Arabidopsis thaliana: one gene and its partner. The protein of the gene in region 2 binds, or shares a complex with, the protein of the main gene of each other region. Each region holds a gene or a part of one and is shown on either strand. Other genes may lie near its edges.

The links.
Region 1: MOS7 (region 2) and AT1G75340 share a complex: the UniProt entries of both Arabidopsis thaliana proteins name them as parts of the nuclear pore complex.

Annotation. Positions count from the first base shown.
Region 1 is NC_003070.9:28,270,114-28,273,868, forward strand, and holds the start of AT1G75340 (Zinc finger C-x8-C-x5-C-x3-H type family protein), read right to left. Parts: upstream 1,969-3,755; 5' UTR 1,761-1,968; coding exon 1,723-1,760; intron 1,613-1,722; coding exon of another isoform or gene 1,553-1,612; intron 1,362-1,552; coding exon 1,184-1,361; intron 1,024-1,183; coding exon 929-1,023; intron 825-928; coding exon 729-824; intron 639-728; coding exon 545-638; intron 434-544; coding exon 216-433; intron 121-215; coding exon 43-120; intron 1-42. Other genes in the region: emb2184 (Ribosomal protein L31), read left to right, coding at 2,050-2,118, 2,209-2,574.
Region 2 is NC_003076.8:1,696,227-1,699,981, reverse strand, and holds the start of MOS7 (nuclear pore complex protein-like protein), read right to left. Parts: upstream 1,713-3,755; 5' UTR 1,618-1,712; coding exon 1,330-1,617; intron 1,004-1,329; coding exon 852-1,003; intron 727-851; coding exon 604-726; intron 356-603; coding exon 211-355; intron 84-210; coding exon 22-83; intron 1-21. Other genes in the region: AT5G05670 (signal recognition particle binding protein), read left to right, coding at 2,448-2,589, 2,943-3,025, 3,184-3,270, 3,376-3,524, 3,650-3,755. UniProt on the Arabidopsis thaliana protein: Involved in the regulation of exportin-mediated nuclear protein export. Required for resistance mediated by multiple R proteins and for the appropriate nuclear accumulation of SNC1 and of the downstream defense signaling components EDS1 and NPR1.

The sequences.
Region 1 (3,755 bases), on a different chromosome or scaffold from region 2:
ACACAAACTTGTTTGAATATGGAATATGGAGAAAGTTAGTACCTGACTCCACCAGCATTGGTATTGGGGAATGTAGTTTGTTGATTGAAGCTTGCAAAGGCATTCGGAGGTCCAGATGAACTATGTCGAGGAAAAATGGAAACCGAGAGTTAGTTTGAAGGCAACACAAACTTTTTGGGATATGAAAATTGGAGAAATCCCACAAAAGTTGATACCTGAGTCCACCCGCATTGGTATTGGAGAATGCAGTTTGTTGATTAAAGCCAGAGAATGCTGGAGAAGGGGAATTGATCTGACTGGACTGAGGGAAGATACTAGGAGTGGTTGCAGCAAACGGGCTTTGATTGGCGGTAACAGAGCCTTTGTATGGATTCCGTAGAAAGTTTTCAAACTCGGCTATTTTGGAATTTTGCAGATTCCTCTCCCTTTCAACCTATATAATGCACCATAATAAGCCAGGAAAAGAGGAAATCAACTTATGTCTTATCAGTATGAAATGAAAACCAGTGTAAAGTATAACAAACACAAGAAAGGTTAATCTCACAATCGACTGTAGAGGTATTCCTCGTTTAGCTTCTTCATATGCCACTGCACGTAGTTCTTCATAGCTGATATCACCGGTAACATCACATGGAAAACTAGAAGAAAAAAAAGATAGAAAAAATCAGACACGTTTATAAAGAATGGATAAAGATCAAGGATGCTAAACCAAATGAAGTAATACATACTATTTCCAGTGGCCGTAGCATGTGAGCTTCCACATGGGTCTCTCATTCTTAAAATCGTCTTGCATTACCCGCTTACACGCAGCAGGATCTGTGCATCTTTGTATAGTAACCAAGAGAGAAACAGTAAATTTCCAAAGAAACAAACGGCTAAAAGGATGATAATTGATAGAACAAGCATATGTAAACATATATACACTCACTTATGATCTGCCGGCTGCGTCTGTTTACCAGTCTGCTGTGTAGAAGCAGCAGCACCACCACCAGTAGGTGTAGAAGCCGTTCGTGACCAAGTATTCTGATTTGCAAAAGCATCATCATGTCACCATTCATTCAACAGGCAAAATGCTTTCGTTTCTTAAAGAAGATGCACCATTTTTCTCATCCAAAGCCGAACGATAACTTGCATTCTATCAAAGCAATACTTGCATCTTAAAAGAGGAAAAAAACAAATTGACCTGGAACTGATTCGGTCTGCTGGAACCACCACTTTGTACACCAAATCCAAAAGGGTTCGAACTATTTTGTTGCTGCTGCTGCTGTTGTTGTTGTTGGTTTTGTGTACCAAAGCCAAAGGGATTATTTGGCTTAGCTTGTTGTGGATGAAGAAATCTACAGTTTTCCCCATACCTACAACTGCAAAAACAGCACAAAGGACGATGAGTCCAATAATTACGTCTCTAAGCTTCTACTATCACTAATCATAACTTCCGAAGCAAATCAACCCTCATTAATGGCGGAAACGAAGATTAGAATCTATCAAAGTCAATAAACTGTATGATTCATTTAGATTTCAGCTCAATAGACATCGTTTTCTAACACATTACCACCTTCGCACATCGATTGATTTCAAATTAAACCCCAGAATATAGAACACGAAACCTAAACTTCAGCAATCGAAACAAACTTCAAAAACTCTTATAAAACAACAAATTGAATCAAAACAAAAACTAGAACAGATGAAGAAGAAGATGATGATGATGAAAAGAGTATTTACCTGCCACGCTGAAAGTTTCTACACAGTTCCTTCCTCATACTCGCAGCTAAAACCTTCGAACTGTGTACGTATGTGCGTATATATATATGTAGTTTTGCTTCTCTCGAGAAAAATGAAGAAGCGTTAGATTGACGAAGAGTGTATCAACAGAACAAAAGGAAGTCTCTATGTAAATTACCATATTACCCTTACATATCTTCAAAGTATTTAGGGTTATAAACGTAACTCCAATACACTTCATCATCCTCATTCTCTTATCCATCAATCGTTACTTCGTTTCTTCTCTATCACCAGGAAAAAAGAAGAAGATAGCTCCTGAAGACAAAAATGGCGGTTTCTCTCCCGAACTCGTTTCTTCAGATTAGCCCATGTGTTCCTTCTCTGCAATTAAGAAAGGTAAGCTCGAAATCGATTTCTCATTCTTCGTCTATTTCTCCTCCTTCCCCAAAATCACTAAATTTGTTTGTGTTTTTTTTTCAAAATTAGCCGGTGATGGCGGCAGTGAAAGGAGGAAAACAATCGGTGAGAAGAAGCAGCAATACGGTGGTTCAGATAACGTGTCGTAAGAAGGAATTGCATCCTGAATTCCACGAAGACGCAAAGGTTTACTGCAATGGAGAGCTGGTGATGACTACAGGAGGAACAAAGAAAGAGTATGTGGTTGATGTATGGTCAGGTAACCATCCGTTTTACCTCGGGAATCGTTCGGCTTTGATGGTTGATGCTGATCAAGTTGAGAAGTTTCGTAAGAGGTTCGCTGGGCTTTCTGAGATTATGGAGATTCCTGTGCTTAAAGGAGAAATCATTATGCCTACTAAGAAAAGTAAAGGTCCCAAAGGGAAGAAGAAATGATGAGTCTTTTCTGGTAAAGCTTATGTCTTTGAATTTGTTGTCTTTTCAATTGAAGTCGAGATACTGCTTAGGCTGTTAAAAATTGTATGTGAATTTTCTTCTGAATGCTATTGGTTATGCTTTCTTTAAGATCTATTTGGTTTCATTGAGAGTGAGACTAGGATCTCAGAGCAATGATACAAGTAGTAGCGAATCTCAAGGACAAATCTTTAGCTTGTGAGTTTGGCATGAATTTGTGATGGATAATAGATAGATATACACTGGTGAGAGAAACATAGCAACAATGCCTATGAAATGGTAATTGCAAATGAAAGAAAGGTTGTGGCTTTTGCCACATTTTGTGATAATCTTGGAAAGTTATGGCATGAGATTAATGACTAGTGTAGGTAGTTGTTGTTGATGTGTAAGTGGTGTGTTGATTAGTTGATTGAGATCATTTTTACATAGATTTATAAGATGTTGAACATGATGATCATGGTCTATGTAAGTGTCTGCTGAAGTTATCAGGCAAAACATTTGTCTTCTGACGACGAAGTGGCGTACTAATAGTGAGCAGATTCTTGAACTGTGGCCATGGCGTAGGAGTATGTTTTGCTTGAGAACATAAAAGAAAATTTTTGGCACTTGAAGTTGAAGATTCTGTGATCATGCCCAATTGTATACTACTACTGAATTTGTGTGACCAATATTGAACAGAAACAGAATACTCCAGCTCAATCAGAGGTTTTACCAATATCAAGCCAAACCAATATCAGGCCGTCTCAAGCCCATTTGAAGACAGTCGAATGTGTGGGCTATTTTAGGCCCATTTCCTCTCAGCTGGAGTCTTCTGCTTCTTAACTAAGCTACCAAAGTTTTCACTGAAGTTCAAAAGGAAAACCTGTGGGCTTTTTAATCCGTTAGTAAATTGGGTTTTGACATCTCTACATACTTCATATGCTGATCGATGCAGTTGAATCTGAATAATTGAGTTAAACTAAATTCATTCGTTGGTTGAAGTCTTAGATCCTTTCTTATCAATGATTTGCGATCTTGACTAAAATTGAGTCTTAAAATATTATCTTAAAGACTTTAGACACACAAAAAGAAGGTGTTTTAAGATAAACTAATGGTCTCCTGTTTCCTAGCATAAGATTGATGAAAGACGCTGTGTTGGGTTAGTTAAACTATATGTCTAACCA
Region 2 (3,755 bases):
AAAGAACCATCATCTGCCTACCTTCCAAATGGCACAACGGGGCATAAGATATAAATTGAACCATCAGTGAATAATATAAAGACCTGCACCAATTGAAAGATTAGGTCAAGACCTAAACATGTAATCCTCAAGGCTCTATTTGACAAGACAACTAAACAAAATCACTGTCAGTTATCAAACAAGTGGAGCAAGAATTTGTACTGAACTTACAGTAAATCTATCCCACAGATGATCTCCTCCAAAACTGAAATCAGCAGGATAAATTGATGAAGCTGTTCTAGATCTTCCTGGCTCACCGGGCTGCAGATAATATTCTTGCTCTGGTAGCTCAGTATCTGAAGACAAATCGAAAAGCCTAGCATACAAATATCTTTTAGTAAGCTAAAAAGCTCTTAAATCAGGATTAAATAAAACGATTTGATTCTTTATAATGAGAGACTGGACCAGATGGTAACATAGTAAGTCATTGCATGGCAGAAACTAACAATCTACAACCTTAGGAACTGATTTTTTCTACAATTTCTCTAACATCTTTCCATAATGATATTGATCAATATATTGACATGTACATCCACCTTCACTATCAGCCGAAAAGATTGTTACCTGAAAACTGCATCCGAGGATAGAATTCCCAAATGGGTGTCACTATCAGGGTGCCACGATGCTTGTAGCAAGGTTATGGCACTGTCACTACTAGTATAGATTTCTGAACCAATAGAAACTACCCTGCAACACATAGATTATGAAGTGATAACGTATAAGCAGAAGGCCATTAATTTAAGCAAGATAACATCATAATCAAGATAACAATGAATATAAATGCATCTTATTAGGGTAACGTTAATCACTACCTGCAAATGACATTGTCTTCTATCACAGAAGCACGTCCAAATAGGTACATCACACATATCCCATCTGAGCCGGCAAGAAGTACAGCTGATCCAGACTTATTGATGGAGATTTTGCTAACAGAAAATGTCACCTGAAGGTCTGGTTGCATCACCTATAATATCATTTATTAGTAAAGCTTAGTCAATCACTACATGATGAATCAATCACCTATAATTTATCTTATGTAGCAAAGACAACAGAGGAAAACTAAAGGTTTTTGACAGTAGTACATAGCAAGTAGAAAAGATCTTCCTATTATCATCCATCAGTAAGAAATCTAATTTCTCAAACTCTTCCTAAACCTAATTTCTCAAAGTCAGTAAAATGTCAGCACTAAAAAAGAGCTTTCGATAAATCTTCTTTTCAATACTCATTTTGGCCGACTTAGCGGTGAAAACAGAAAGAGAGAGAGAGAGAGAGAGAGAGAGAGTAAATGACCTTGGACGGGACTGCGGCGAGGACGGAGGATGGTTCAGGTTCACCCAAGCGCAGAGATAATCGGTGAAGGAGATATCGTCTCGAATCCCAGTAGTATACGCGCGAGTCTCCGTCCCAAGCCATGAAATTTCTCGGAAACAGCTGCGACACGGCGGGTTCATCTTGGGAGGAAGGAAGAGAAGCGAAAACCGGGTGGCTCTGGAGAGGAACCCACCTAACCGGCTCTTTGGGCGTCGGAGATCGTCGTGAATCTGGTGCATCCTCTGTCTCGTTAAAGTTAAATTTCATACTTTCTTCACTCGAGTGTATCTGTTTTCGTCGGAAGGAGATGCAGACACAGACACCAGATTCACGGCGGGAAGAGAAGGGAGAAAAGAAGCGATGAAGCAGATACAGTTGAAACGACTTCGTATTGACGTTTAATGGGCTTTTATTCGGCCCATTAACTATCTTCGAAACAAATTGAAATGAAGAAGCACTAACTGGTTTTAATATATAAAATTAAATCTGAACCCTAAATCATCGTCGCCGTGTTCTTCTCCGCTTCCACCGTCGTTGTATTCGTCTTCCGCCTCCTCTCCCATCGGTGCGTTTCTATCTCTTCCACCAAATGGATTCATTTACTCTTGGGTAAATTTTAGCTCTTGTTTGTCTATATTCATTATCTGGAATTTTAGAGGAATCTGTTTGTATTTTTTTACATCTCGTTGAAACAGCGCATCAATGTAGGATTAGCATTTATCTTTTCATAACTTGGGATGATCGTGTATGGGTCTACGGGTTGTATTGATCTGGTAAAACTGGTTTTAAATTGGGATAAACAAATTGTGTTCCTTGTTCACAAGATGATTATTGTCACTGTACTGGGTTTATCACAAGGATGAACATGATAATGTGAGAACCAGTATTGATATAATGTTTGCAAATATTAGAGAGTTCCGATTTCAATTTTTGTTTTCAGGAAGCAGTTTTAAATTATTCCCATGCATGTTGTTTGTGTAGGAGAAGAGAGTTTTCTAGTTAACTCTAGGTTATTTTTATGTCTTAAGAGGAATGAATTACATCTCTGGATGCAGGTTTTGAACAGCTTGGCAGAAGAAGTGAAACTTGAGAGAGTAATGGAGAACTTGGAAGATCTGAAAATTCTGGCTGAGCAGTGGTCGCATCAAGGAATTGAATATCTTCAGAAGATACCACCGAATCAGCTGTATGCCGCCATTGGTGTTTTGTTGTTTACAACCATCTTGCTCTTCCTATCCAGTATGTATTAGACACCACTTTGTTGTTTCTTAATCCTTTCCTAGTAGAATTGCTTTATTTATGTAAGATCTCCCCCTGGTAGTATCTTGTTTGCCATTGATAAGGACATATAGCCTGTTCTTCTTCTAAATGTCTTCAATTACTTTTCTTCTGCCTGCTATTGTTTACAACTGCAGAGGTTATAGTTCTCATGGTACCATTTTAGACTTGTGATTAAGCCAGAGTATTTTGTGTATTGGAATTAGAACTATTATTGCAATTTCTGAGGTTTATTCATGATTTTTCTTTGATTATACATAAACAAACTTTTGATCTTTTGTTGCTAAACTTGTTGTTCTTGCTGGGGTATGCAGTTCGCCTGGTCAGACGTACCAAATCCAACACTGTACTCCTTTCTGGGCTGACCGGAAGTGGAAAGACTGTGCTCTTTTACCAAGTGAGTGTTTTGGCTTGACGTTACCTTTTTCATATGAATATTGTTTATGACTTTCCTTCAAATGTACTTTTTTTTTGTAATGTGTCACTATTGTGAGTCAGTGTGAGTGACTAGGTCATTGTTGGAGAGTTATAACACGATAATTGTTTGATTGGCAGCTCCGAGATGGATCGTCGCATCAGGGCACTGTAACATCAATGGAACCAAATGAAGGCACTTTTGTTCTTCACAGTGAAAATACTAAGGTAAAGAATCTTACTGTGTTCTGTTGTAAACAACACGTGCAGTTGATTGTGATGGATGGAATAACATATTACTAAACCATGTCCCGTGCTTGCTCTTTGTGACAGAAAGGAAAAATCAAGCCTGTTCATCTTGTTGATGTTCCTGGGCACTCTCGGCTTCGACCCAAGCTAGAAGAATTCTTGCCCCAAGCAGCTGCCATTGTGTTCGTAGTGGATGCCTTGGAGTTCCTCCCAAACTGTCGTGCAGCTTCAGAGTAATTTCAAACACCCTCTCTCTTCCACACACACGCATTGTAAGACACAGATAAGAGACATGTTTGCATATGTTTGCATCTCAATGTTGAAAATGAGGCATTGCCATGGTTTTTTATGGTGATAGGTACCTATACGAGATTCTGACCAATGCGAATGTTGTCAAGAAGAAGATTCCAGTCCTCCTTTGCTGTAACAAGACCGATAAACTCACTGCACACACCAAGGAGTTT